4 linked regions of the Macaca mulatta genome follow. The protein of the gene in region 4 interacts with the protein of the main gene of each other region in a pairwise test. Links are inferred from orthologs where the notes say so. Each region holds a gene or a part of one and is shown on either strand. Other genes may lie near its edges.

Evidence for each region.
Region 1: the proteins of UBE3A (region 4) and MCM6 interact in binary tests that used the Homo sapiens proteins (3 or more experiments, as listed by UniProt). The link is inferred for Macaca mulatta from reciprocal best matches to the Homo sapiens genes UBE3A and MCM6.
Region 2: the proteins of UBE3A (region 4) and UBQLN2 interact in a two-hybrid assay, tested with the Homo sapiens proteins (2 studies listed by BioGRID and IntAct). The link is inferred for Macaca mulatta from reciprocal best matches to the Homo sapiens genes UBE3A and UBQLN2.
Region 3: the proteins of UBE3A (region 4) and JADE1 interact in a two-hybrid assay, tested with the Homo sapiens proteins (3 studies listed by BioGRID and IntAct). The link is inferred for Macaca mulatta from reciprocal best matches to the Homo sapiens genes UBE3A and JADE1.

Annotation. Positions count from the first base shown.
Region 1 is NC_133417.1:27,485,645-27,493,762, forward strand, and holds the start of MCM6 (DNA replication licensing factor MCM6), read right to left. Parts: upstream 5,378-8,118; 5' UTR 5,315-5,377; coding exon 5,208-5,314; intron 1,777-5,207; coding exon 1,630-1,776; intron 1-1,629. UniProt on the Homo sapiens protein: Acts as a component of the MCM2-7 complex (MCM complex) which is the replicative helicase essential for 'once per cell cycle' DNA replication initiation and elongation in eukaryotic cells.
Region 2 is NC_133426.1:56,536,728-56,544,882, reverse strand, and holds UBQLN2 (ubiquilin-2), read right to left. Parts: upstream 4,099-8,155; 5' UTR 3,822-4,098; coding exon 2,387-3,821; intron 2,291-2,386; coding exon 1,947-2,290; 3' UTR 738-1,946; downstream 1-737. UniProt on the Homo sapiens protein: Plays an important role in the regulation of different protein degradation mechanisms and pathways including ubiquitin-proteasome system (UPS), autophagy and the endoplasmic reticulum-associated protein degradation (ERAD) pathway.
Region 3 is NC_133410.1:137,603,179-137,610,695, reverse strand, and holds part of JADE1 (protein Jade-1), read right to left. Parts: intron 6,185-7,517; coding exon 6,027-6,184; intron 3,678-6,026; coding exon 3,490-3,677; intron 1-3,489.
Region 4 is NC_133412.1:4,573,193-4,580,709, reverse strand, and holds part of UBE3A (ubiquitin-protein ligase E3A), read right to left. Parts: intron 6,730-7,517; coding exon 6,431-6,729; intron 2,776-6,430; coding exon 1,529-2,775; intron 1-1,528. UniProt on the Homo sapiens protein: E3 ubiquitin-protein ligase which accepts ubiquitin from an E2 ubiquitin-conjugating enzyme in the form of a thioester and transfers it to its substrates.

The sequences.
Region 1 (8,118 bases), on a different chromosome or scaffold from region 4:
CAGGTGTGAGCCACCATATCTGGCTGGTTTGATAAGAAATGGATGAGGACAGGAGAAGTATTTGTGTACTAATGTGAGAACAAATTGGCAAAAATGCTCCATTTGACTGGTGAGAGTGAAGTATGCATGTCCTTTTTATATAAGTTTCTAATAGCTACTACAGCTTACTTTGTTTAAAAAGTGGGGTCTGAAAGTCCTCTAAAAAAGGTGCTACTCTCGGGAAAGAGAACTGCTGCCTGGTTTGTGCATGAGGCATGGCACAGCTGCTTCTACCAGCAGGCTTGATTTTCTACCTCTCCCTCATTTGTCAGTGCAATAACTTCTGCTGCATGCTTTCACAATAAACCCTGTTGCTTACTTACCCCTCCAATTAATCTTGATCATCAGCTATGACTAGAAACACAGACAAATCCTCCATCTCCCAATCTACCAAGAAATGAACAAGATTGTACCTCCTTATCCCTGAATTTTCATTTATCTTTCACAACTGTCCACAATTTATTTTAACTTGATTCTATTTCTGATTGTCACATTCATGTAATCCTAATACAAAGTCTTGTGTGCAAAGATGTTTCTTGCTGTGTATAACAATTCAAAATACAATAAAAGCCTTATATTAAATATAATGTCTAACCATAGTATTTCTACCAAAAAACCACAATTGGAGCTATTAGTATGATTTTAAGAAATTTTATGTGAATTTGAGTAGTTTCATACACAGTACACACAGAAAGACATCAAAATGTGACAGAAGATCCTTACAAAACTCTGTACTTGTAGACTTAGAAGGCTCCTGGAACTCTTGTAGCAGACCTGCTAATGATGGTGGTAGATTACAAGTGTATAAGCAATTTAATTATCCTTACTTTTCTCTATTTTCTACAATATATACCTACTACTTTTATAAGCAGAAACAAAATTAAACTTTAAGGGAACAAGAAGTACAACAACATCAATGCTGTAAAGATATCCCCAGTACAAGAACAGGACGCACACAAACACCTATTCCTGTGGGGAAAAAGGATCAGTGGAATGACACAAAAGTACAGTTTTCCTCTTGGGAAAACTATACAGAAAGCAAAGATTTTCAACATTTGTATTTGAAAAAAAATTTCAGCTCTGGCTGGGCACGGTGGCTCACGCCCGTAATCCCAGCACTTTGGGAGGCCAAGGCGGGTGGATCACCTGAGGTCAGGAGTTCGAGACCAGCCTGACCAACATGGTGACACCCCATCTCTACTAAAAAATGTAAAAAATTAGCCGGGCGTGATGGCGGGCGCCTATAATCCCAGCCATTAGGGAGGCTGAGGCAGAAGAATTGCTAGAACCAGGGAGGCAGAGGTTACGGTGAGCAAGATCGCGCCACTGCACTCCAGCCTGGGCATGAGAGAACAAGACTCCGTTTCAAAAAAAAAAAAAAAAAAAAAAAAAAAAAAGGTCGGCTCTACAAAGGCCTACATGAAGTTCAGAGCAGTACTAAAATGACCACTGGCAGTATCAAAGCGCCTCTTCTCAGAGGGAAATAACTGCTGCCCTTCTGCTACACAAGTGAACACTTACAGTCCAGGAAGAGCTGGCTTCCCAGATTTCAACCCCTATTCAAAGTAAAGAAGATTAATATGTCCATACCTATAGAACTCCTCTTGAATGGTGGTAGAAAGTTGCTGGTTAAATTGTTCCAGGTCCACAAAACTCACAACCAATGTGTTTCTCTCAGGACGAATCAGTTCCTCTGCTAATTGCAGGTATTTAACTTCTCCATCGCTGCTCTGAAACCTGCAGGTACATGCGAGTCAACTAGATTAAGGACACAGGCAGTACAAAGAACCTGAATGATTGATAATTCAGAATACTGGTTAAAGTCCAACAAGTAGGCTCAGATGGGCCCATGTTTGGCAGTTCGGTAACTTGGGGCAAGTTACTTGTCCCTTCTGATATGGTTTGGCTGTGTCCCCACCCAAATCTCATCTTGAATTTCCACATGTTGTGGGAGGGACCTGGTGGGAGGTAATTGAATCATGGGGACAAGTCTTTCCCCTGCTGTTCTCTGATAGTAAGTATCACGAGATCTCATGGTTTTAAAAAGGAGTTCCTCTGCACAAGCTCTCTTTGCCTGATGCCATCCACTTAAGACATCAGTGACTTGCTCCTCCTTGCCTTCCACCATGACTGTGAGGCTTAACTGCTAACAACAAAAAAACAACAAAACAACTACTAACTCTTATTATTGTCATGTATAATTAAGATTGGAAAATGTTAAATCAAGAAATTCAGTCGAGAACCCAATGATTCCATTTCTGTAGGTAATTTGCAAGCTGACAGATTAGTCAGGGATTTAAGAAGCAGAATAGAAGAATACACGGAAATGAGGTGTTTCACTGTCCAAGACTTCAGGAAAATTGAAACATGCACACTAAAAGTTGGTATTTTTGCTTCTAAAGCCCAAGCAGGATATCATACAAATTTATTTTCTGTTCTTTTAAACATAATATGCAGATTTGCTTTAAGAAAAAATCAATTTCTCCTCCAAATACAGCATGTTCTGACAACTCAAATACAGCATGTTCTGACTTAAAATATTTGTTAACCAACTACGTGCAAAGCCCTATGACAGAGGCATCTGAGGCTGAAAATGGCAGTGTTGTTCCTGCCCTAGGGTTAACTACCACTTTGTGTCTAGGGAGTTAGATATATGTAAACAACGAAGACAGACATGAAATATGTTCCTGTTAATGAGAACAAGAAATGTGCTAGGATAATAGAAACTAAATCTGCCTAACAGAACATGTACAAGAGTCATACATATAAAAGGTGGTACTGGAATTCAGCTTCTGAAAGAGTTAAAAATTTCGAATAAAAACAGGTGGTGGAGTGACTGACTACAGATGTTTGCAAGTATATGATTAAGTCAGAGAAGGTAGGGGAGAAGTGTGGATGATGACTGGGGTGGTTTTGGAAGACAAACAGGAAAAAGGAGTGGTGAAGAATTTGAACTTTATTCCACAAGCAATGGTGAATTAAAGTTTATTTTGTGACAGGGAGTTGGCACTTCTTTAAACAAAGTATAGAGATTATTTGTCTCATCATTATCATCTAGCTGCAAAGTCAAGGCACTTAGATTATTTGTTGAAATGAAACATTTATTGAAGAACCTTTGTAATGTGATATGGTGGGTAGGTGGGGTTGAGGATGGAATCTGAATTCCACACTAAGTGGCTGAGAGGTAAAGGTGTTACACTGCCAGAGACAATGAAAAACAAATGGCACCCTGGGAGCCTAAGGAAGAAAGGATTAGTGCCTCTCAAAAAGGTGTACAAGGTATCACAAAGGTGAGTTTTTAGCTGGGCTTTGAAGGAGGAACTATCAGGCAGACAATAACATTGCCATAGGTAGCAAAATGGAAATTAAATTATGGTTTTAAGTATACCAAAATTTCATAAGATGGAAACATTATTCACAATAGCCAAAAGGTGGAATGAACCTGCGTCCACTGAATGGACAAGCAAAATGCAGTACATATGCAGGTTGAGCAGCCTCATCTGAAAATGTAAAACATGAAATGGTCCAAAATCTGAAACTTTTTGAGTGCTGACATGATTTTCACTGGAGCATTTCAAATTAGGGATGCAACTGGTTAAGTATAATGTAAATACTCCAAATCTGAAAAAAAAAATCCAAGATCCCAAACTCTTCTGGTCCCAAGCATTTCAGAAAAGGGATACTCAATCTGTAGAGGCAATGTTATTTAGCCTTAAAAAGTAAGGAAATTCTGACACATGGTACCTCGCAGGGGAACCTTGTAGACATTATGCTACACAAGCCAAACACAAAACGACAAATACTATTATGATTCCACTTATATGAGGTACCTATAGTGGTCAAACTCATAATGAAAGGAAGCAGAGTGGTGGGTGACGGTGGTTGAGGGAGAGGGTAACGGAAGAGAGGAAGAGAGTTCGTATTTAATGGGCACAGAGTGTCAGTTTGGAAGATGAAAGAAGTTTGGAGCCGGGTGCGGTGGCTCACGCCTGTAATCCCAGCACTTTGGGAGGCCCAACCGGGCGGATCCCCTGAGGTCGGGAGTTCAAGAGCAGCCTGATCAACATGGGGAAACCCCATCGCTACTAAAATACAAAATGAGCCGGGCGTGGTGGCGCATGCCTGTAATCCCAGCTACTCTTGAGGCTGAGGCAGGAGAATCGCTTGAATCCGGGAGGCGGAGGTTGCGGTGAGCTGAGATGGTGACACTGCACTCCAGCCTGGGAACAAGGGCTAATAATTCCGTCTCAAAAAAAAAAAAAAAAAAAAAAAAGAGTTTGGAGATGGAGGGTGGTGACGGCTGCATAACGAGGTGAACGAACTTAATGTCACTGGACTGTACACTTAAAATGCCTACAATGGTCAACTTTGTGATGTATATTTTACGACAATAAAAAGAACTTCATAAGCTTTTTTCACAAGCCATTCCAAACTGTTGACCCTTCATCCTGGAGGCCGTGGTGTATCTACTCTAGGAAAAATAACCGGTGGGTAGGTAAGGCAAGCCAGGGAGGAGGCGGGGCTATGAGGCCAGGAGCCCAGAGGCACAGAAAAAAAGAGGGGTAGTGGAGAAAGGAAAGGAAGGCCAGAGGGAAAGGGGAGCAAGGGACCCAGAAGAAGGGAAATGGTAGTTACTCTACAGGGCACGGCTCCGCACCCCAGTAGCTTTCAAACCACAGTTCACGCAGAAACTTTCATCAGCACAGGCGGCGAGGGTGGCCCGGGCCCTGCCCACCCCCAGCACCAGGCTACCGGCTGTGTGGCCCAGCAGGGCTCCGCCGGGATTCAATGGCACTTCGGCCTCCCCCTCAACCCGGCCGCACCCAGCGGCCCAGTTACTATACTCAGCGAGCCCAGGTTTCCGCGCCGGTCACCGGGAACTGTGCAAATACCAGGCTCGCGGGGTGGTGAGCATCAAGTGACAGAAGCAAAGCACTGGGCACGAGCGTCTTAGGGCTCGATATGGGTTTTCGTCCAGAAAAACCCAGCCTGTTCTAGGCTCCTCGCGGCCGCTGGGCTCGCAGCCTAAAGTTGGGGGGCGGGCGGGGCAACACTTCCCGGACGCGCGACCCCCAGGTTCCGGAACACCCGCCGGCCACACGGCACCTCCTGGCCCAGACACCGCGGGCTCCGGAGGCGGGCGTGGCCCCGGGCGCTCATCGACTTACTCCTCCAAGAAGTCCAGGAACAGTTTCTGGCACTTCTCGGCCACCTCATCGCGGACCTCCAGGTGCTGGCTGCCGGCGCCCGGCTCCGCTGCCGCCGCGAGGTCCATATTTGCCCAGCGCCGAGGATTCGCCTACGCCACGCTCGACCGCCACAAGTCGCTTCTTTCCAGACGCTGCAGCTTTGCGCGCGCCGCCGCCGCTTCCGCCCCGCCCCCTCTTCCGATCGGCACGGCCGGGACCAATCGTGACACAGGAGCCGGAGATTTCGCGCCAAACCTGACCAATGAACGGCGCTTCTCCAAGAGCCCCCGCCCACGGAAAGGGATTTCGCGCCAAATGCAAAGCCCGGCTGGAGAAAGCCCATCTGCCTTTGCGCCTGCGCAGTGTAGCCGTGGCCGCGGGTATTTTTGGCTACTGGAACAAGTTCGAATCTGAGGGTTTTGTCCGAGTGGTTTTTCAAATGTTTTTTAAATCATTCCACTGATACTAATTGAACGATCGGAGTAAGACTCTATGGAAGAGGAAAAAGGGGAAGATTCACATCTCCCGCTTCTACTGTCTAGTTGGAGGAAATACTGGAAACCACAGTATAAAACCCTGTAAAAGGGTCAAAGAGATGTCCAAACCTTGCCTGGGTAAGGTGGCACAATTATTGTGGTGGTGCTGACCGAGGAAAATCAGCGAAATATTTGACAGTGGCCGGGTGCGGTGGCTCACGCCTGTAATCCCAGCACTTTGGGAGGCCGAGGCGGGTGGATCACCTGAGGTCAGCAGTTCGAGACCAGCCTGGCCAACTTGGAGAAACCCCGTCTCTCCTGAAAATACAAAAAGTAGCCGGGCGTGGTGGTGCACGCCTGTAATCCCAGCTACTCAGGTGGCCGACTCAGGAGAATCGCTTGAACCCGGGAGGAGGAGGTTGCAGTGAGCCGAGATCGTGCCACTGCACTCCAGCCTGGGCAACAGAGTGTGACTCCGTCTCAAAAAAAAAAAAAGAAAAAAAGAAAAAGAGAAAGAAATATATGACACTATGGTTAATCTTTTTTTTTTTTTTTCTTTTTTTCCGATGAAGTCTCACCCAGTGGCTCAGGTTCGAGAGCAGTGGCGCGATCTCTGGTCACTGAAACCTCCCCCGCCCGGGTTCAAGGGATTCTCCTGCCTCGGCCTCCCGAATAGCTGGGATTACAGGCGCCCGCTACCGTGCCCAGCTAATTTTTGTGTTTTTGTAGAGACAGGGTTTTCGCCATGTTGACCAACTGCTCTTGAACTCCTGACCCCAGGTGATCCGCCTGCCTCGACCTCCCAAAGCGCTGGGATTACGGCCGTGAGCCACAGAGCCCGGCCTTAATACCCTTCTTAAAATGCACTATTGGCTTGAGTTCTCCTTATGTTCTTTCTCCCATCTTTCCCTGACCGTTTCGCTTGGTTTTTCCGCCGTCTCTTTGGCCATTCCTGGTTAGCATCCTTTGTAGGCGCCTCTTCTTCAGTGAGTCTTTTAAATGTTCTGGTTCCAGAGCTTTCATTTCCCATAAAGTCGCTCTCTTGGGCGACCCTTTACACTCCCTTGGCGTTAATTAACGTCTGGGTACTGATGATATCTATATGTGTATTTCACCAACCAGTACTTTTTTTGGCCTCCAAGACATTAAGAGAAACGGGGACCACTTCCATTTTTCGAGGCTTCTTGCATATTAAAAATATTTTTTCTTCCTTTTCTTTTTTTGAAACGAGGTCTTGCTATGTTGTGCAGGCTGACCTTGAACACCTGGTCTCAGCAATCGGCCTGCATTCGCCTCCTGAGTAGCTGGGATTTCCTGCCACCAACTTATTGAAAAAATGTTTCTTTTTCTTTTTTTTTTTCTTTCTTTTTTCTTTTCTTTTCTTTTTTTTCTTTTCTTTTCTTTTTTTTTTTTTTGGAGAGGGACGGAGTCTCTCTCTGTCATTAAGCGGGAGTGCAGTGGCACATCTCGGATCACTGCAACCTCTGCCTCCCGGGTTCAAGCAATTCTCCTGCCTCAGCCTCCTGAGTAGCTGGGACTACAGGCGCACACCGCCACGCCCGGCTAATTTTTTTTTTGTTTTTGTTTTTGTATTTTAGTAGAGATGGGATTTCACCATGTTGCCCAGGCTGGTCTCAAACTCCTGAGCTCAGGTAATTCGCCCACCTCGGCCTCCCAAAGTGCTAGGATTACAGGCATGAGCCACCGCGCCCGGCATGAAAAGATTTAAAAATGCCAAACAGAGTGGAGAGAAACTCAAGTAATTATTTTAACATACGTACAAATACACTATTCACAAGATATTTACAAGTTTAACAAAAATGCTCAACGCTGGTGTGTTGCAGTGTATCTGTAATCGTATGTATTACCTCATTTGAAAACGAACACTCAGCTGGGCGCGGTGACTCACTTCTGTAATCCCAGCACTTTGAGAGGCCAAGGTGGGCGGATCATGAGGTCAGGAGATCGAGACTATCCTGGCTAACACGGTGAAACCCCGTCTCTACTAAAAATACAAAAAAAATTAGCCGGACGCGGTGGCGGGCGCCTGTAGTCCCAGCTACTCGGGAGGCTGAGGCAGGAGAATGGCGTGAACCCGGGAGGCGGAACTTGCAGTGAGCCGAGATCGCGCCACTGCACTCCAGCCTGGGCGACAGAACGAGACTCCGTCTCAAAAAAAAGAAAATGAGCATGGTGGCTCATGCCTGTAATCCCAGCACTTTGGGAGGCCAAGGTGGGTGGATCTCTTGAGGTCGGGAGTTCCAGACCAGCCTGGCCAATGTGGTGAAACCCCATCTCTACTACAAATACAGAAATTAGCCGGGCGTGGCGGGGGGCGCCTGTAGTCCCAGCTACTCGGGAGGCTGAGGCAGAGAACTGCTTGAACCCAGGAAGTAGAGGTTGCAGTGAGCCGA
Region 2 (8,155 bases), on a different chromosome or scaffold from region 4:
TTGCCAATTTAAAATAATCTATGCAAATAAATTCTTCTCCGATATAGCAAAAATGACCACATAGGTAACATATTAAAAGCTCCAATAAGCAGTATCAACGTGTTCCCTGTATGTCTGTAATACCTAGGAACATATTTATTACAAATTATATAGGATTTAAATAAAACTCTCATGAAGGATATATAAAGTTTTTTAGAAACAAGGCAACATATGTTTCTGGAAAGCAATGCAATTCTGTAGTCCTCATAGTCATATAAATTTAAGAGAATCCCAACCAAATTAAATATATTTTTTGGGGAAGAATCCATTAACCGTAAAATTCATCTGGTAAAATAAACATGTCAGAATCATCAGAAAATTGTAAAAAATAAAAAAGATCAAGAGGAGGTCTCACATTAACAGATACAAAGTCCCATTTCTAACTCATCTACAGGCTGGTGTACTGGTGCCACAATGTTCAATGGAACTAAAGGGAATCCAAACACAGAATAAAGTATATACATGTATGACATTTCATATGTTGGGGGAAAAGATAAATATGTTAACAACTGGCTAACCTTTGGGGCAAAAAAGTTAGAATACCTAAATCCATATATCAAGATAATTCCAGACAGGACAAAACATTTTCTTAATGAAACCATATAAGTTAGAGAAATACAGGATAAGATTTATATAATCTTGGGGTGGGATAACCCTCCTAAACACGATCCTAGGGCCAAAAGGCAAAAAGAAAAAGATTTATCCATTTTTTAATTTTTTATTTTTTTTTAGTCATTTTTAATGCATTTTTCTCTGTGCACAAGAGAAATAACTGATGAAGTCAAAAGATACACTTTCCTTTATACATAGCAGTTAAAAGTAATGCAAACATCACATGACACTTTCAGTGAAAGTTACATTTCCAATTACAAATCAAAATGCATATTAGGGTCTCTTTATGGGAGAAGTTGAAAAGGAAGTCTTAGGTAAAAAGCACTTTCCTGGCATTACTACACTGATCCTTCGGGCTGCACAAAGATTAAGGTCATATACAGTCAATCTGCAAATGTTGACACAATGTTACACTGTAAATTTTCTGTACAATTAAATGTATACTTAGAGATACCAGGATAAACATTTCTACTATATTTTAACTGAACTTGCCTAGCCAACATTTTCACTGAGAAGTTTATCAAAGATGCTGTAAGATTCTACAAAACTGTGAGACACATACCTAGCTCCAGAAACATTTCTTGTATTCTTTCTCATTTTGGTTACACATATTACACTCAGATTCTACTGTAATATTTTTAGATGTACAGTGCCAACTGTGCTTACTGTACTGTATACAAATATAGCAAAAAAGATCAATGAATGGTATAAATCTTACAGCATTTTGCTAGCAAAAATACATGCCAAAGTCACAATAAGCAATATCGTACCACAAATTAGAGAGCTTCAAATAATTTGCCTCTGTTTTTAATATCTTCATTCTACATTAAATTACTATCATAGGCTAATGTTTAAAAATGCAAATAAATTGGACATCTGTAGGACAACACTTGTTCACCCAACTGTGAAGGTTGATACTTGTTTCCAAAAATCACAATAAATGCAGAATAAAGAGAAGTGTTTGCATGCAACACTTTTGAGTGAAACAGCATTGATTCCCACCATTCAAATCGGGTAAGGAAGGAAACTAAAGGAAATAAGGAAGGAAGGAAACAAAGAGGGAGGAAGGGGGGAGACAAGACGAAGGGAAGGAAAGAAAAATAAGCAAAGGAGAAAGGGAGTGAGGGAAGTAGGAGAGAGGGACTCCATCTTAAAATGCATCATATTAGACTGATAACTAGACAGATTTAAAAGAATCAAAATGAAAGTAAAGAACGATTTTGTGTGTGTGTTTAAAGATTTAAGAGCCATTATCAAAAATAAGATACATTTTTTTTCCAGGTACAGAAATGTGATTACGATGGCTGGGAGCCCAGCAGCCTTTCAATGGCTGCATTGATGTCGCCTCCTGTTGCTATTAGGGCCTGCAAGTTTGCTTCACGGTTTAAGAACCCCATTGCGTTGAGCTGTTCCAGTTGTTGCTGAAATCTGACTTCTGGATTCGGCAGCTGTGGAGCATTTGCTCCAGCCAGAGCCTGCACCATTTGCTGAATGAACTGCTGGTTGGGTCCAGATTCTGATGTAGGACTCGTGGTTTCACTGGGTGCAGCGCTGGACACAGTAGGCCCAGTGGGGCCACCAGAGCCGGTGGAGCCAGGGGGGCCTGCAGGGCCAGTGGGTCCTATGGGCCCAATGGGGCCTATGGGGGTAAAAGGGACTATAGGGCCTATGGGGCCTAGGGGGGTGACTGGGCCTACAGGGCCTATAGCGGTTCCCAGCACCCCCACCCCCACACCTGGAGTGAAGCTTGGAATCAGGCCAGGTGCTTCAGTGGCTAATGTCTGTAGCCCCTGCTGGATCTGCATTAAAGCCTGCATTGCTCTTGGGTTTGACATGGCTGACAGTGTGTCTGGATTCTGCATCTGCTGCAGGAAGGCTGGGAGCTGTGGCCGCATCTGCTCCTGCAGCTGAGGATTTGCAGTAAACAGCGGGCTATTCAGCATCATCTGTGCAGCCAAATCTGGATTCTGGCTCAGCGACTGCATCATGCTTCTCATGTAGGGCGCCGACAGCATATTCTGAATCAGCTGGGGGTTTTCAGTTATCTGTTGCAGCAGGCTCTGCATGCCTGGGGTACTAAAGATGCTGGCGACATAATTAGCGGCAGCAACGGTGTTCCCAGTAGCATTGCTGGAACTATTGCCAGAACCACTACCAGTGCTCGTGGTCGTGCTGGTAGTTGCAGAACTCTGGGTAGCTGGCGGTGGTGCCCATGGATTGGGTAGTGGATCGCGATTTTCTGTGCGGGAAGGCTGCGTACCTTCCCCAGAGGAGGAACTACTCCCCACGGAGGCAAATGGATTACCCCCAAACTGCTCTTGTGCGGCATTCAGCATCGGCTCTTGAATGTCAGTGTACATGCGCCGTAAAGCATTATAGCCACCTGGGATGCTTTCTAGATTGCTAAGAGCCAGGTCTTGATTTCTCATCATCTCTTGCATCATGGCTGGATTCCTGGCAATTTCGAGTGTCTGCCTCATTATATCTGGGTTGTTGAGCAGGTGACTGATTTCTGGGTTTCTCTGAATCAATTGCTGCATCTGTGGATTAGCCATAATGAGCTGCCTCATCAGATCGGGATTCGAAAGCATGCTCTGAACAAAGGGATTTTCCATGATCTGGATCATCATCTCAGGGCTGGCCATGAGCTGCTGCTGCATCTGGCTCTGGAGCTCAGAGAAGTTGGTAGAGCTCAAGCCCAGGCTGCTAAGGCCTGCAAGTCCTCCCAGGCTCCCCAACCCAAACGGGTTGCTATTTGTGGAAATAGGTGTGGAGTTACTCCTGGGAGTCGACGCCGAGGTAGCGTTAGTTCCCGCGGCATTGCTAGGCTGCGTGGACTGGCCCTGAGGTCGGTTCTGGCTTTTGATGACAAGGTGAACAGTGAGCCCATCATGGATGCCATGCTGGATCAAGGTATCTTGATCTTTTAAGATTTTTCCGGCAAAAATCAGCACGAGCTGATCGGTTTGGGATTTGAAGCGTTTCGAAATCGCTTCCTTAAACTGCTGAACCGAGCTGTTCTCGGGCACCGCGAACTCCTCTTTCTCTTTGGGAGTCTTCACAGTGACTTTGATGATTTTAGGCTCAGCCTGGGCAGCAGCCGAGCCTTGGGCCGCAGCAGGGCCGCGGGAGGGGCGCGGGGGGCCGCTGCTCTCGCCATTCTCAGCCATGGCGGCCGCGGTGACGCAGGCGGGCAGGGAAGGCGCGGGCGGGCGAAAGAGAGAGAGCGAGGGAAGGAGGAAGGAAGGAGGCGCCGCCGCAGCGGGCTGGGCCGGGTCGGGCGGGGAGCGCGGAGCACGGTACCTCTCTGATGAAGACTGCGGTTCCCTGGTCCTCCGGTGGAGAAAGGCCTGGGCGTAGGCCGCGAGCTGAGGTCTCCGCGCTCCGGTCTCTGGGCCTCCTCCTCCGCCGCCTTGTGATCCGACCGCGCGCACTCCCAGCAACTCTGGCAGCCGCTCCGCCTGCTGCTCCCCGCCCCTTCCCCTCCCCCAGTTCGGCGCTCGCCTCCCCGCCCCCTCTGCTGACGCGGCGCCAGGCCTAGATTGATAGATTTGGCTCGGTCAAAATTAAAAACTTCTGCACTGAAAAGAAAAAAAGGGAGAGAGCGAAACAAAGGGAGAGAGAGAGAAGAGAAGAGAACAGTACAGAGCAGGCGAGGCAGAGGGTGGGACGGAGAGAAGGAGGCGGTAGAGAGTCAGCTTCTGTAAACCACATTAAAAGACCAATGGAGAATGTATATTAGCAATCTGTAAGGCAGTAAAAGGGTGAAAGCCTGAATCGAACCGATCCCACATATAAGACGAAAAATGAATAATAAAGAACTCTGACAAAGCAAAAAGAAAGAGGAACACCCCCAATGGGGGAAGGGAAGAAGACAGAGCAGGAGCATGCATTTTACAAAAGGAGTGCAAATGGCCAATAGACATTTTAAAAAAGATGATTAATTTCACTAGCAATAAAAAAAAATTCAAGTTAAAACAATAAAATTCTACTTTTGGCTTATCATATTGGCAGGGAAAAAAAATAATGATAAACCTTGTTGTTGACAGGGACCCTAAAAAATGCACTCTCAGGCTAGTTGAAGTGTGAATTGTTACAACCATAGGGCAATTTGAAAATATATATCAGCATTTTGAATGTTTACACCTTTATTTAGAAATGCCTAACCTAGACAATTCGCCTAATAATCGTATGAGGATGCAAAACTATTTATGTATAAAATGTATATACATTGTAGCATTTAAAACGTTATTTAAATATATTAAATATCTGTTTACATAAGATTAGTCGAGCACATAATATTACCATACAAGAAAATATAGAGTGTCTTTAAAGGTATACATGAACTAAACTGTAGTTATAGGGAAATCACAGATTATTTTCAATTTTGCCTTTGTATATTTCTGTACAGTTAAAAACTATATAAGAATGTATGTTCCAATATCAAAAATACAATATATTTTTATTTTAAAAGCAATTTTTGAACAGTTAGTTGTATATGTAAACCGTATGTGTAAAAAAATCTGAAAGGCTATACACAAATAAGTTAATGGCTGTTAGTACTGTTTGCTGAAATTATGAATAATTCTTATTTTCTACTTTCATAAGATTTTGAATTTTCTGATGATTTTTGTAAGTATGCACTACAGAAAGGTATTTTGGGGAAGAGTATGGGTAGAAATTGACAGGCACATAATAGTAGTGGCAAACATTGACATATTTACCTAATTTCATTACAGATTAAATAAGAGCAATAAAGATGTAGCAATGCTCAGAAAGAGAACTTGAAAAATAGAAGAAATAATTTCAAATTTATCTATATATTTCTAACTCTAGGTTAAACCACACAAAAAATTATTCCCCTACCCCCACCCTCTACCAAGCAGCCACCAAAGAACCACTGATTTGAACATTTAACAGCATTTCAAACTCATTAGGTCACAAATACTTTAATAAATCTCAAGATAAGAAAAATATATATATACAGGTATGTTATATCCATTGATGGAGAAATGGAATAATATAGTATGTTTAATATAATTAATAAAATACAGAGGTAAAAGAATGACTAGCTTTAAATATGTTAATATGTATAGATCTAAAAAGCTAAATTAATTAGTGTTAGGGTGGTGCAAAAGTAATTGCGGTTTTTGCCATTGAAAGTAATGAATTGTTACTATTATACAATGGTTTTTGCCATTGAAAGTAATGGCTAAAACCACAATTACTTTTGCACCAACCTAATACATGCCAAACAGCATTCTAATACATTCTTATGTATATTTGAAATATTCTTTTAGAAATATACCAAACTTGCACACATGAGGAAGAAGAAATGGAACAGGATATAGGCTAGTGATTAAAGGGAACTTAAATATGTAAAAATGCTTTTTATCTTTAAAATGAAGGCAAGTATGGTAAAATATCAGCAACAGTTAATCATGGGTGGTGAGAATATGAAAATATTATAGGTAATATTTAATTTCAATAGAATAAAGCTAGATATTAATAATCAAAGTATGAACAAAAAACCAATCATTTGATTATTAAAACAAAACTGAATAATTTTGGGACAAAGTGCAATGTTCTTATTAGAATAAATTTACCAAAATAATGATAATGGGAGCATATACAGCAACAATAATGCTAGGAATTTTCTACGTGTGATCTGAGAACATTGTTAAGAATGCATGTTTCTAGGCCCCATGCCAAACCTACTGAAATAAGCAGTGCACTGGAAGCTGCATTTGTGTCAAGCTCCAGTTTAATATTATTTCATTTATTAAGTACTATGTGGATGAACTCAGAGTCAAATTTATACATTCAAAGATTTAAAATATCAAACAAAAGATTGAAAATAAGTGAAGTAGGCATTTGAATAAAGAAGACAACGGAAAATAAAAGGAGAGAAACGGGGTGACAGCTATAGAATGATAAAAGCAAATATTAATGAATTAACAAACAGAAAAAATAAAATTTGTTAAGTAAATCTAAGAAGATATTTGAAGAATCAAGTCAAATACACAAATCTTTATTAATTGGTGATTGTCTTGCCTGGCCATTCCCTCACCAAAATACACATCAGAGGGGCAAAACCATACTCACCCTCTTAAGGAAACTTTCCACAAACACATTTCTTCGCATTCTCTTTCTTTACCTTAAAAATTATGTGATTTTTTTGACATTTTACTTCAAAATATGTTACTGTTAATGTTTTAAGTTACAATGAAATAAAATTAACATTTTAGTAGTCGAATATACATATCCTCATTAGTGAAAAGCACAGCATTAATTAGCTGAAACAAAGAAAGCACACCAAGAAAAATATACAAACTAGTATTGTGTGAATAAAATTTAGTCACAGATGAAAGGGACTTTTTTTTTTTTTTTTTTTTTTTTAGTAAAAAAGAAATGCATTGTAAAAATATTGGCTAATGACAAAAAAAAAAAAAAAAAAAAAAAAAAAAAAACCTCAGTCCTGATGACTACATTTCTAGGAAGATAGATATGGTCAAAATACATTCCAGAAGTAGAAGATCTTAAAGTATGTGAGAGACATGTAAGAAAATGAACAAGGTCAGGTGCAGTGGTTCATGCCTGTAATCCCAACACTTTGGGAGGCCGAGTCAGGCATATTCCTTGAGCCCAGGTTCAAGAACAGCCTGGGTAACATGGCAGGACCCCATCTCTACAATTTTTTTTTTTTAAACTAGCTGAGCTTGATGGCTAGTGCCTGTAATCCAAGCTACATGGGAGGATGTGGGAAGATCGCTTGAGCCTGGGAGGTGAAATTTGCAGTAAGCCTTGATCATGCCACCACACTCCAGCCTGGGTTACAAGAAAGTAAATAACTAGTTATTTTTCAAATCAGCTATTTTGTTCATAGTGGCTGCTAAGCTTATGTTTTTTACCCTCTCTCTTTACCAAATCCCACTGAAGTGACAGAAATGAGAAAAATAATAACCCCCTAACAGTTTTGAAAAGGTGGAAAGAGTGCCATCAATGAACTTTTAAGTTAAATATCAAAATAAATTCTAGATTAAAAAATGAAATCATAAAATTTGCAGAAATATGTTAGGGCAAATATTTACATAAGCTAGGCATGATGGTAACCTGATGAAAACAACAAAGAAAAATCATGAATGGAAAAATTAATAGATTTCATTAAGAATTTTAAACTATATATCAACAATGTAATAAAAATTAAGCAGTTAAAGACAAACAAAAAATGCAACATATATAACACATGAGATCTATCCATGACATACAGACATTTCTTACAAATTTTTAAAAAATGAACACTCCAAGGGAAAAATAGGCAAAGGATATTAACTAGTATCTTACAAAAGAAAAAAAAAGTCAGAATGAAAAGAAAAAGGAAAGAAGGAAGAAAGGGAGAAAAGGAAGGAAAAAAATATGTTATCTTCTTTAAATAAAAAAATACAAATTAAAGTAACTGTGAAATACTTTTTGTCTATAAAATTTAAAAGACCAATATAATATC
Region 3 (7,517 bases), on a different chromosome or scaffold from region 4:
AATCCGTATTAATAAATATTACAAAATAGTTCTGGTTTATTTATACTTAAAAAAATGTACAATGAATAAACAATAGTCTGATAAATAAATCCATCACTGGCCAGGCGCGGTGGCTCACACCTGAGCCCAGGAGCTCAAGGTCAGCCTGGGCAACATAGTGGAACCCCATCTCTACAAAAAATATGAAAATTAGCCAAGTGTGGTGGCACACACCTGTAGTCCCAACTACTCAAGAGCCTGCAGTGGAAGAACTGCTTGAGCCCAGAAGGTTGGGGCTATAGTGAGCCATGACTGTGCTACTGTGGTCTGGCCTGAGTGACACAAGACCCTGTCTCAATCAATCAATCAACCCATTGATGCATCCATCCCTGAGGGCCCCAAAATTTTTTATTAAATCCTTATCAGATCCTTCTAAGAAACAATCTTCAAAGGGGAGAGTCTTCCAGGAAACTGTTATGTTCTTGTGGTCAGGTAGTAAAGATGCAGTGTAGTAAATGGGAAAGCAAAAGGTAAATTTTAAAAGGATTCAAGGATATTAAATACATACATTGTTGAATACGACATTTCATTATACTCATTACACATAACAACTAACACGTAAGGGACTTCAAAACCATGACCTCAGATATGGTTTGGATGTTTTTTAACATTTGCCTTTCTTGGTAGGTAAAAAAGTTCTCTCAAAACAGATTACACTTTGGATACTCTAATATTTTTAAATGATGTATCCCTCCTCATACTCTGACTTCTACAAAGTTGAAAAACATAGTTAACCAAATGCAAAAAAAGACTGAAACACCAGGTACAGTGGCTCACATCTATAATCCCAGTACTTTCGGAGGCCGAGGCAGGTAGATCATTTGAGGTCAGGAGTTCAAGACCAGCCTGGCCAATAGGGTGAAATCCTCTCTACTAAAAATACAAAAATTAGCCAGGCATGGTGGTAGGTGCCAATAATCCCAGCTACTTGGGAGGCCGGGGCAGGAGAATCACTTGAACTCAGGAGGTGGAGGTTGCAGTGAGCCAAGATTGCACCCCTGCACTCCAGCCTGGGCCACAGAGTGAGATTTCATCTCAAAAAACAAAGAAAAAAAAAGATCAGTAACAGCTAAGACAAACATCTTTAAGCATGTGTTCCATTTATGTTATAAAATTACAAAATTAGGCCAGGCGTCGTGGGTCACCCCTGTAATCCCAGCACTTTGGGAGGCTGAGGCGGGCAGATCACAAAGTCAGGAGTTCGAGACCATCCTGGCTAACACGGTGAAACCCCTTCTCTACTAAAAATACAAAAATAAATTAGCCAGGCGAGGTGGCGGGCACCTGTAATCCCAGGTACTCGGGAGGCTGAGGCAGGAGAATGTCGTGAACCTGGGAGGCGGAGCTTCCAGTGAGCTGAGATCACGCCACTGCACTCCAGCCTGGGCGACAGAGTAAGACTCTGTCTCAAAAAAAAAAAAAAAAAAAAAATTACAAAATTAATCCTGCCAATGTATTCAACAGTATCTTCAAATATGGATTAGCCCAGTTCTTATTATTTAAACCATTCATAAATGCCAAGAGTCTTTGGGCTGAGTCCTCTGACTTCACACAGGACACCTAGATTCCAGTCAAGTGCATTACACTGGTCTTTATAATGTGCTTACAACAAAGCAGAAACTGTGTATCTTTGAAGCTAAAATTTAGTATCCAGTTCCAAAAGATCTCTGAGAACTCCTGAACACATGCCATAAAACCACCTTGTGGCCTGCTAATGTTTTGGCCATTAATACCTAAAGCAGGACCAAGAAGGAGGAAATCTATTTTGTCTATAAAAACACCTGAGTAGGCCGGGCACGGTGGCTCAAGCCTGTAATCCCAGCACTTTGGGAGGCTGAGACGGGTGGATCACGAGGTCAGGAGATCGAGACCATCCTGGCTAACACGGTGAAACCCCGTCTCTACTAAAAAATACAAAAAACTAGCCAGGAGAGGTGGCGGGTGCCTGTAGTCCCAGCTACTCTAGAGGCTGAGGCAGGAGAATGGCATAAACCCAGGAGGCGGAGCTTGCAGTGAGCTAAGATCCGGCCACTGCACTCCAGCCTGGGCAACAGAGCGAGACTCCGTCTCAAAAAAAAAAAAAAAACACCTGAGTAACTGAGTAAGTAGAAAATAACACGATGCTCAGCTCAGTCTACACTGTCACTCCCATTCAACAGGATGGTGAGCCTAATGGCAGGACAAGCATCTACTGCAAGCCACACTCTATGCTAGGTTCCCTGGAAAGACACAAAAGAAAAGATCTTGGCCCTTTCAAGGCTGTGAAATTCACCATGACCAAAGATCTTGTGAATTTTTTTTTTTTTTTTTTTTTTTGAGAGGGAGTCTGGCTCTGTTGCCCAGGCTGGAGTGCAGTGGCACGATCTCAGCTCAATGCAAGCTCCACCTCCCCGGGCTCAAGTGATTCTGCTGCCTCAGCCTCCTGAATGGCTGGGACCACCACACCCAGCTAATTCTTGTATTTTTAGTAGAGACGGGGTTTCACCATGTTTGCCAGGCTGGTCTTGAACTCCTGACCTCAGGTGATCTGCCCACCTCGGCCTCCCAAAGTGCTGGGATTACAGGCATGAGGCAATGAGCCCAGCTGATCTTGTGATTATTTACTATGTCCTAGATTACAATACACAGCCCTTGCCACCACTTCCCCACCGTGTACCTACAGTACAAAAGCTAATTAATCCTCATAGTTTTTCACACTGATCCCAGACTTGACTCCATTGTCTTGTTCATCAAGACGCTCAAGGCAACCCTTAGCAATCAGGACTGGCATGTGAAATGAGACCTACGCACCATCCCAGTCTCAACACCGTGAGATGCAAGTACATGACATGCAGAAGCTCCAACCTCTACATACACTAAAATGAGCTTGCAGAAAAGAAGCTGAAAAGGGCTGGGCACTCAGCTAATGTGAGGCTTCACTAAAGGAAAGCCAGGACATAGACAAACAGGAGGGAAAAAGAACTCCAGGTTTGCAGCATGACATAAGGAAAATCACTCAAGTTAAAACACGTGTGATGTGCTTGGAAATGGGGAGCATGCCTGGAAAAGTGTTCATTTAGAGAAGCAGCAATCCACAGCTGAAGAAGGAATCTGAATGGTGTCGCAGAAAAAAAAACACTAGAGCAAGTAACTGGAGTATGCCCTTTTGTCACTTAGTCCTGGACTTCAGCTTCCTTAAGGTAAGTGAATGAGGGAGTTAGATCAGAGCGGACATGGGAATCCCTGGTGCCTAAGCCGAGGAGCCCTGCTTCCACTCTGAATCCATCTCAGCACATCTGACACAGCCAAACAGGCTGAGCTCTAAGGCAGGGCTGTCATTCTGACTAACTGAAGCTATGATGGAGATGCCTTCAACTGGCAATAAGGAGCTTTTTGCTACTCACCTACCTGCCTAAAATACGTTTCTATTCATTATTGGTTAATAAAATAATATAATACATGGTCTCTCACCCATTTCCTTAAATTCTTCATTGGTCAGTTCCAGCCATGCAGCATCCATGTCATTGAGGTCATAGCGACACACACTGTCAGCCAGCGTCCGGATGTCCACATAGCCCAACTCGGGAGGCTCTGAGCCTGATGACACGATGTACTTCTTGGGCCTGATGAACATGAGGGATTTCTCTTCAGACACAACCCTGCATAACAAAAAACAAGGCAGCTAGGTTACCCTTTCAGTCACAGACAATGAAGTATGCCACAAGGCCCCAGGTGTCGCTTCCTCTTCCAACCCTCAGAGCCACAGGTCATCACTAGAGGCTGAAAACCTGAATGTCACTGCTAATAAAACCTTAACTAGAAGTTGGTAAAGCCTGTGAACAGGAAATAGATATGAATGAAAACACTGTAGAAGCCTTCAAATCTGCTTCCCAGGACACTGCTGTGCCCTGCCCACCACCTCTGACCACTCTGGCCTGCAGCCAACACCAAAACACACTGACCCTTACATTTCAAGAGTTAATCACTTTCCCTTAACCAGACCTGCCCATCTCTGCTGGAGGCCATTAGAACCAGGGCACCACACAGGCAGGGCAGGCACAGCAGACTCTGAGAACCAGAGGGAGATACCCGCCAACGCTGACACCTCACAAAAAAAAGCCGGAGAGAGGGAAAAGAAGATTAGGCCTTGGGCTGGGCACGGTGGCCCAAGCCTGTAATCTCAGCACTTCGGGAGGCTGAGGCAGGTGGATCATTTGAGGTCAGGAGTTTCAGACCAGCCTGGCAACACAGTGAAACCCCATCTCTACTAAAAATACAGAAATTAGCCTGGTATGGTAGCGCACGCCTGTAATCCCAGCTACTTGGGAGGCTGGGGCAGGAGAATCGCTCGAACCCAGGAGGCAGAGGTTGCAGTGAGCCAAGATTGCAACATTGCACTCCAGCCCGGGCAACAGAGTGAGACTGTCTCAAAAACAAACAAAAAAAAAAGGAATTAGACCTCGGCCATTATCAACAAATCTAAGAATCAAGAGTCCCAGCCAAGAGGCAGACTGACTCTCCCAACATATACCTATGATCCCAGAAACAAAAGCACAAGTTTCTTCTCCTCCTGATACTGCCACACACTCTCCCCCAACCTTTAACACCTGGAGTGGTGCTTTCCAACTCACCCCACTCAAAATAAGACAGCATGCGCAAGAAGATCAAATCACTCCCAACTTGGACCAGAAAAGGCCATCTTCCTAATCACAGGCCCCAGGCCTCAACAAAGTCCTTCCACATCTGCATTTCTGCAGTTTAAATTACTGTCAACAGGCTGCCCAGAGTCTGTCAGAGTACCTTCATCACCCTTATATTATGGGAGTGATTTTATCTACATGACGCTGAGATGGACAAACTGAAGGGATTTATTTCTCCTACTCAACCAAGAGCAGGGATCCAACTGAAAACTTCCACAAGCTGTATTAATGCTCACTTCTGTCCTGGTTCCCCACTGAAAGTGAAGCATTCAGCAAGTGACTCCTAGGCTGGGGCTGCCAGTGCTGAATCAGGTGGTGCTACATCTCAGACACAGGCTCTGAGGCAGATACCTGGTCTGCCCCGCAGAGCCCCGTGACCGCTCCATTCCACAGGTCCCGATTCTAGCCTGTGGGGGCCATCCTGGCACTTCTGATTGGTCACCTAAGCCTGAGTAAGACAGGGGCATATGTCACCACTGGATAGACGCCCCAGAGATCCCAAAATGACAACTCAAATTTGATCATCTTAAGTGCCCAAAACAAGAGACACAAAGTGGGTGACGGCCAGGAAGCAAGTTCAGTCATGACTCAGCGTGGAGAAAGACACTGTTTCGCAAAGCAGCAGCCAACTGATGATGGCCGAGAAGCCAGGTGCCAGCTGAGCACAGAGGGCACTCAATCCTCCCTCCTAAGAGGACTCTCCAGGTGGCACGAAGCAGGGCAGTGAGGAAATGAGTAAACAGCTGCAACCTGATTGTGAGGAGAGTCGGCAGGGACTCAGCCCTGAGGGATCTTTAAAGTCAGTAAATTCAGAGAACGCACCCTGAGAACAATGTGACCAGTCAAAATAAATCCCTCCAAAACTCCCCTCTCCACAAACCCTAACTGGCAGGTCTGGTCTCCTCACACCTGTCCTCCTCCAAAGGCGGAGGCAACTACACACTTCTCTCCAGGAGAGTCACTCTCCAGAGTGAACATGGAGGGCAGGAAAAGAGGATGAAGACATGTGAACACCCAAATTTTCCTCCCCCAGCCCATCACTTCCCAGGATGTCTTGGAATTTGCCTTCCTCTCATAAGACAGCAGCACCTCCCCACAGTGGTGGCTGTAATGTTAAGTATGGAGGCTCATGGCCCTCAAAACCACTACCCTGTATGCCTGAAGTGTGCTGCTCCTACATTTCTATTTCCACTTGAGGCCTCATGATATTTTATTGCTAACTCAGAAATTGTCTCTTCTCAGATGCCTGCTGTCAGGGAAGAAGAGCGAGGGTGGGTGGAGAGGCGTCTGCCCTCAGGGCATCTCTACCTGGCCACAGGCTGAGGGATGGTCCCTGGGCTCACGGGCACCTGGACCCCTTTTTCCCATTCCTGTCTCCAGGGATCTGCCAACACATAGTACTCATCCGGATTCAGCTGGTAGGAGTCATGCAACTTCATGGCAGTGATCAGGTCTGTCCTAAACACCTGGAAAGGAAGAGAAAGGGACACTGACATTTGATATTTGCATTCTTATTCAGAGTGCTGGCAGCTGCAATGTAACCATGGAGCTGCCATGTAACAAGGTCACTGTATCAACATAGAACAAGCCTGACCTATTACAGAAAACCTTTGCCTGACACGCCTTTTACCTCACTCAGGCATGGGGGGTGGCAGTGCTGAGGGAACCCTGTCCTCTCACTGCCTCAGTCCATAGTGTCCACAACAACTTCAACAAAAAAATCTCTGAAAAATGTCTCTCAGTTCACCAAAAGGGCTGCTGAAAACATGTACCTGGAAATCTCTGAAGGGAGATACTGCACTCAAGGGTGCTCTAGAAATACAACTGCACTAGGCCGGGCGCAGTGGCTCAAGCCTGTAATCCCAGCACTTTGGGAGGCCGAGCTGGGTGGATCACGAGGTCAGGAGATCGAGACCATCCTGGCTAACACGGTGAAACCCTGTCTCTACTAAAAATACAAAAAACTAGCCGGGTGAGGTGGCGGGCGCCTGTAGTCCCAGCTACTCTAGAGGCTGAGGCAGGAGAATGGCGTAAACCTGGGAGGTGGAGCTTGTAGTGAGCTGAGATCCGGCCACTGCACTCCAGCCTGGGCGACAGAGCGAGACTCCGTCTCAAAAAAAAAAAAAAAAAAAAAAAAGAAATATAACTCCACTAACCATGTAACAACTTCTTCAAGCCAAAACCCAGAACCGCCAGGGACTCATCTCCTGTGCTTTTTTTGTTTTTTTGTTTTTTGGGGTTTTTTTGAGATGGAATCTTGTCTGTCCCCCAGGCTGGAGTTCAGTGACACAATCTTGGCTCACTGCAACCTCTGCCTCCCGGGTTCAAGCTATCCTCCTGCCTCAGCACCCCTGAGTAGCTGAGATTACAGGTGCGTGCCACCATGCCCAGCTAATTTTTGTGTTTTTAGTAGAAACAGGGTTTCCTCATGTTGGCCAGGCTGGTCTCAAACTCCTGACCTCAAGTGATCCACCTGCCTCGGCCTCCCAGTGTGCTGGGATTACGAGCATGAGCCATGCTCCTGGCCAGGGACTCATCTTCTATAACGAGACTGCCCCCACCCAGGCCCTGCCTCCCAGGGCACCAGGGTTTATGGTATGGCAGCTGGTGAGGTCAAGGTCTGGGCTGGCCTAGAAAAATCTGGAAGAGAAGCAACCACAGGCCACTTGGTTGGATGGGCCTGCAAAGAACATGTTTGCACACCTTCACCTGGCATAAATTCTACCTGGGAAGAGTTATTTGTGGGGAAAGGAAATAGAGAAAGTCACTACCCTCTTCCCACTCTGCCAAAAACAGGCA
Region 4 (7,517 bases):
CAGTTCTGCTCCAACAATGGATAGTCATAGACAGACCTCAACATACCTTTCATAAAACATCACTCACATTCTTATAAAATACCCTATCATTCTGCTAAACTATGTAAAGCAAGGTGCTGGCTGCCTTATGATCAGTCGTTAAGTGTATTAATTATTCATGTGTCTCAAAACTATGTAAGTGAAATAAAAAGGGTACCAGAAAGCAAGCAATAATAATGACTTCAGGCAGTTAAAGCCCCCTTTTGTCTCTGCTAGAAAACCACCCGAGTTGCTTAAATAATGCAGAATCTTTCTCCACCACTATAAACATATCTGACATTAAAAACAAAAACAAAAACAGTAACAAAGAAAAAAACAAAATCTCTGCAATTTGTAATTTCTGAGATGTCAACTTTTTCCACTGGGCTATAGTTTTATGAATTCTCAAATTTAGACAATTCTAAAACTAAAATTTAGACATTCTAAAACTAAAATACATTTTAAAGTAAAAATCACATTTCCTAGTTGTGTCAGACAACTTTCTCTACTAGTATACTATAGTATTATTAACTACCTTAATTTTGGTTGACATTAAATTTTACTTGAAGATGATAAAAAAGCAGCAATGACAGGGATACCTAATACTAGAAATACAATAAAACTCTGAGACAATACACCTGTGACAAATGTAAATTCTGGTAAAATGTGACTGACAATTGGTTTCTGTCTTCTGGCCACTCTTATATTCTTAAATAGATACACTAAAAATAATCTTTTGTGGAGAAAAGCAAAGCAACAAATGGCAACCCCATCTGGAAAACCAGGAAGTTAAGACGAGTACCTGAGTTTCCAGTATTTCCCTGCTCGATCTCCCTGCACTTGATGTTACAGGCACCACCACGAATCCCCAAATTTTTGGAATAGCTGCTGTTTTCCAGAAGTTCCAAGACCCAGAGTTGTCTCTATGAATTTTTAAGTGGGAAGAAACTACCACAGCCAGGCAGTGCCGTCCATACAGGGATATTCTAAGTGGCCCAGCAGGACTCAACTCTTACTGGCAACAGGCGCTGGTCTGCCATGGTCACTTCATCAAGTTCACAATAAAACAACTCTGAATTTTACATGATGGAATTTTTTGGACACTACCTAAAATTTTATGGTATAGTTTTACTGTACCATTTCTCCCAGTTCAAGACTTCACATCCACACTTATTACTGGGTATCTCCCCATTTCTCTTGTTCTGGTCTTTGCCCAACACTCTATTCTCTTCTGAATGAAAGAAACTTTGGATCTAGTATTCAAGATTTAGAAAACCCACTCTTTTTCAAAGATAGAGTGAGCATTATATAATACAACCGATACTTTGTAGAAAACATCTATAAACTTGGACAGGAACAACAAAGTGTAATACTTATATCTAAGATCAGAAATGTCCATGTGTTCCTATGCTATATGGTATCATTTTTTTCAGTCACTTTTAAAATGAATTCACTGAACTGTATCATGATATCCCCATTACTAGGTTTTTAATCTAGCAGCCCAACTTACCCGGACAAGTGCATCATCTATGATATGGTCACGTCTAACTTTGAGTCTCAAATATGGATTCAACTGCTGTCCTTGAACTAAGCTGTAGAGAACAGTGATTCTTCGTTCACTGTACATGCGAATTCTATTGTCATAATATAATCCCAAATTCTTTGTGACAGCATTTAATATAAAGGGACATGTCATAAAAGAGAATTTGTTCTCTGTTTCTACTTTGAAAAAAGTATAATCTTTATCCATTTCTAGAACCTCATTCAGTGGTTCATTAATAAACTCTTCAAAAGGGATAAGTGGTTTTCGACAATCCAGGGTTTTAACACCAAGTTCAGTTTCCAGGGGGTCCACTCGAGGACCTTTCTTGTTTCTTCTTTCTTCTCCCAAAAGCTCCTGAAGTGTCAGCTCACTGGATTCAGGGATGGGCTCTTCATCATCTTCTTCATTGTGATTTGTGTCCACTTCCCCTCCCACTACATTTGCATAGTAAACCATTTTCAAGCACTTCGAAGCAGCAACAATGGCATCATCATCGTTCACTAGATTTCGACTGTTAAATTCATTGCTTATGACTTTGTAAGTAATAAGTTGCTGAAATGTCTCCATCATTCTCCGAATCTGGTCTGCATTGTATTTAGACCACAGTCTGATCAGTTTTCCTTGGGCTGCAAGGGGTAGCTTGCTCATTGCTTTGCAAAATAATGGCAAAGCCATTTCCAGATATTCAGGACTGTGGAGATTTCTATTCTCCATTACGATAATGAACAAATTCAGATAATTAGGATCTCGAGAGTATACATTGTGATACGTCAAGTCACATTCCACGTTAGGTGACAAATATACAAGTGCATTGAGAAAGGCAGTTTCAATTTTTTCATTAGACAGCAATCTGGTGTAGACCCTTCTAATGGCATCAATATCCACAGACACATCATCAGGGCCTACTTTTTGCAAATTGTTGTCTCCCTGTGAGCTATCACCTATCCTTGAGGAAGATGCTTCTGAGTCTTCTTCCATAGCAGCAGCAGAACATGCAGCTTTTTCCTTTTCATCTTCATCCTTGTCTTCATCTTTTGCTTGAAGAGATTTCAGTTCTTCCTTGGTATGTTGTTTAACTTTCCGGAAGCTCTGTACCAATGCCTCAGCACTAGAAAAAACTCTTCCAATAACACGAATTAAAGGGGAATAATCCTCTCTTTCTCTACATAATTCAAGAATTTCATATACCTTCTCTTCTGTTAAGTAAGTCACATCTAGAAAATCAGAGGAAAAAAGAGAACATTTATTTTCATAATATGCATGTTTACCCTGTTGCAAAAAGTTCTAATAAAAGTAAAACAGCCAAACATTGTAGTCTCAACATCATTTATGATATACAACTCTAAAAGTATCTAATACTTAGATTCAGCAAACAAAATTCAATGCTTACCTATTTTTTTCAATGAACTACCTACACCAATGACCTCACCCATGCTTTTACATTCTTTCAACAATGCATAACTCTTAATGAGATCAGGAGAGTTTAAACTTTCTTTATAATCAAGATATCTATTAATGTATAGCTTTATTTATAAATATGAACCAATATGTCATATACTGATTAATCATAATACAGCTCTTAAAACCTCACTGTAGAACAGAAATACTACTAATCTTCTGAGAGTTTTCTTGTTTCAGTACTCCGTTCTCAAAAGACTGAGAAGGCAAAGTCTTAAAAGAAAGGTTCCTTCAGCATCTATGTATGTATTAAAAGAAAACTGGTTCATTTTGGGTCTTCCTAGTTTGTTCCAGGGTAGTCATTCTGTGAGTGATTGAGAAGAATATACCATTTCTCATCAGCTCTTGAGCAGAAACTGCTTTCTGCAGCCAGCAATCAGGTTAGACTAAGTCTCATAGAGTGACAGAAAATAATTTTTGAGCAATGAAAACAGTGCGAAGAAGGCAACTTATGAGCTGGCAAGCAGTGCAGAGACTATGTAGTCATCAAAATCTGTTTCCTCTTTTCCTGGGCACAGAGTTGGACCACATTTCCCAACTTTTTGAGATAAGTGTTATTTTCAGGCCAATGCTTTCCCCCTTCTGGCTAACAGGATGAAAGATATTTTATTTTACAGGTAAAAACAAATGATATATTTTGTGTACTGACCAACATAATACTGAGAATAGTCTTAATTCTCCCTTTCATCAATAAAGTGACATACTTATCATCATCAGATTAACTACTTAAGGGGTTAATTTTAGAGGCACACAATCCTACCTCCATTGTGCCAAACATACCTTTATACATGTACTATACAACATGTAGAATTTTTAATGACTCCCACCTCTGCTATAATATATCTGTTTCACAATGAAAGACAATATAAAATGTAAGTGATCACTGAATGGTCTCCAAAAATTGAACCACAAAAATACCAAATTTTATCATACTAAGGATCTGATCTGTGGCCAAGCTACAAGAGTGTCAACACTTGCAGTTTCTTTTATGGGCCTTAACTCTTTAAGAACTAATTCTCAGGTTTGTTCTATTAAGAATATATAAGCATCTTTTGCTAAACATCAGTAACCTTTTCCCCAAAAGCGTAAAACCACTGGAAGTCTATTTCTCATTATTTTCATTGAAAATTTTTATAATACCTTCTTCCAAGACAATGCAAAACCCCTATCTAATTTCCCAAAATGTAACAGAAAATTAAGACATAAAACACTTTGCTTCCTGAGCAAGTCATAAGCTTAACAAAGACTTGCTTTGCATGCAGTAATATGGCCTGTCCTAGGGATCACGATTCTAGACTCACATGTCCTTTGTTGATATGTCATGCTTTCGGAACATCTTCAAGTGATTCTGACAGTCTACTAATCCTATATAGAATGTACCTATACTTTTTCCATGTAGTGTTTTTTGTTGTGGTTGCTGTTGTTGTTTGAGATGGAGTCTCGCTCTGTCGCCAGGCTAGACTGGAGTGGCACGATCTCGGCTCACTGCAACCTCTGCCTCCTGGATTCAAGCGATTCTCCTACCTCAGCCTCCCGAGAAGCTAGGACTACAGGTGCACACCACCACAGCCGGCTAATTTTTTTGTATTTTTAGTAGACATGGGGTTTCACCATGTTGACTGGGCTGGTCTCGATCTCTTGACCTCGTGATTCGCCCGCCTTGGCCTCCCAAAGTGCTGGGATTACAGGCATGAGCCACCATGCCTGGCCTGTAGTGTTTAATATGTTAAACTGAATTTTTCAGATATATAGATAAAAATTAGTCAAAAAACACTGTAATTAGATATGAACATTCATAAAGTTTGGTTTACTGATAGAGGTGTTCTACTGAGAATATATTAAATAAGACATTTTTTGTAAGATTTCTTGTGATAAATGTGTCCCTGAAAATACTCAATCTTTTAAATTCTGCACTTAAAAACCTTTTACACAACAAGAGTTTGGTGCAGACTACTTAATAGTTACGCAACTTTGTGATTAGTGTTAATAAACATAATTAATAATCAAAATAAGAGTACTAGTGCAGAGACAGCATTTCTAATTTCTAATATATGATAGTAACTGTAAAACACTGCAAAAACAAAAACAAAAACAAAACAGTAAAGAACAGGGAATAGTACCAGTAGCAGATTAGAAAGTAGGAAAAAGGAAAGGTCAAAACTGCTAACTAATGCAGACTTCAGCAAAAAGAGGTGGGGGCATAAAGACCGGATAAAGCCACACAATAAGCATCTCTAAGATGGAGCATGTGGCCAAAAGAGCAGATGAGTACATTCCTCATGTATCACACCCCCCCCAGCTGGCTGCATTCCACTGTGCCAGCACTCTGCGTTCAGTTACTGGTACTCTGTGGTGCACACTTACTGGAGAACTGTGTACAATAGAGTCAATGCAGCTTCCACATTATACTGACACACTATATATATAGACATTTACCTATTTTTCCACAGTGTGTGAGCTAATTCATGAAACAGAACTATACACTCTGAAGCAACAAAGTTGTGTAAAGTGACGAAAATAATTCTATTGTGGAAACAGTAGAGGTTATAACACAATGCCACTTCATTAATTCTTTCAAACTTGATTCAGATGATGTTACTGAAAGTTTTAGAGGCAAATGCCTCTAAAATTCTGTCACTTACACGTCATAAACAAAAAGCTTTCTCTCTTAAAATACAATTGCCTCTGCGTGTGTATGGGGGTGGGGGTGCAGGGGCGCTAAGCCCTGGCAGTCATTCAAAAATTTGATTACCGTGTTACTAATTACATTCACTGAGGAAAATAACTTGGAGTTTTAGTATTAGCGACAAGGTAATCGAATCCTGAATTTTGGACACAGGACCATTTAAAAAACAAAAGACCTGAGTGAAGATTGTCATTGGTAGGTCACCACCCTTGGCAGCATGACTGTACCAAATGTTTGTGAGGAGAGTGAGAAGCATATATTTGAAGGAAATGTAGAATTCTCACATAACTATCACAAAATTTTGTCTTGCCTTCTAAAATGGAAAAAAACCCACTGCTTCCTCTTCCTACTTCTTTCATCACATCATCCTGAGGTTCCAGAACTCATGCCAGATACTGAGTCCAGTTATTCTATAACTTAAATAGATGTTGTGGCCTAGTTTTGGAGATTAACTATCAATTAATACTTTTTTTCCTAAGAATTTTAAAAAGTTCAAATCCATCTATTAACAAATGAACTTTTGGCATATGATCTGCTTCTAATTAGCAACGATTAAACCTGTAAAATGTAGTTATTATTCCTGTCCTTTACCAAAACAAAAAATTGGTTCTACAGTATCAAAATGTCTTAATGTCACATAAGAAAAAACAAATAAAAACTCATACATTTAAATCTCCCACATGGTTTTCAGCCAACAATTCTCAATTAAAAATAAAACATCTTACCTTTAAAATCAATTCTAGTGCCTTTCTTGTTCATTTTTATCTCAGAGCAGGAGTTGTTGGGGGCACCTTTCGAGTTCTCAAGGTAAGCTGAGCTTGCTCCTTTCTTGGAGGGATGAGGATCACAGAGTTTTGCATTAATCTTATAAAGCTCGAGGGCTTTAATAGCTGCTGCATTATTATCCATACGAAGAAAAGTTGGACAGGAAGCACAAAACTCATTCGTGCAGGCTTCATTTCCACAGCCCTCAGTTAACTGGTGGTAGTAGCGTTCTATTAGATGCTTTGCAGCTGCTCGCTTCCTGTACCAAACAGTCAAACAATAAGCACAGTGATTAGTATAGCTGTCATGTACAAAGCCCAACAGATCATCAAGGCAAAAGTTAGTCAAGCACTGAAGTGATTAACCTGTGTGCGAAGATGAGAAGTAGAAAATGGAGATGCACTATTTACCAACAACCCCTGACTAGTGAAATAGCTAATAAATATTTTCTAGGATATGATAAAGAATGTCAATGCTTACTGACTGCATTAACAGAGTATACACTCCTTTGGTTTAAAAGGGGGGAGGGGGGCTCGTCTGATGGTATATGTGCTTAAGTTGTTTAGTACAACAGCTGAAAAATCACCAGGTTTACAGCTAAGAGTTTTAGGATTCTATCATTTTAAAAATTAGCATTAGGAAAATCCAGTTTTCCTTTACATAATCACTATTTCATTTTTAACAGTTTGTAAACATTTGACTTACAGTTAACACAGAATATCTATCTGGAATAAAAACTATTTTTCCCAATTATCAACCACATGGGAGACTTAAAAATAAATTTGTAAGTGGAATATCCAAAGCTACTGAAAGAAAGTGGCTGCAGCCTGAGTGAGGTAGATCATGACTGTAATCAATCCCATAACTGTGGGAGGCTGAGGCACGCAGACTACTTGAGCCCAGGAGGTCAACACCAGCTTGGGCAACCTAGTGAGGCTACTCTCTACAAAGTGTTATTTTTTTTTAAATTAGCCAGGTGTGGTGGCATGCACTGTAGTCCCAGCTACTTGGGAGGCTGAGGTGAGAGGATCACTTGAGCCTGAAAGT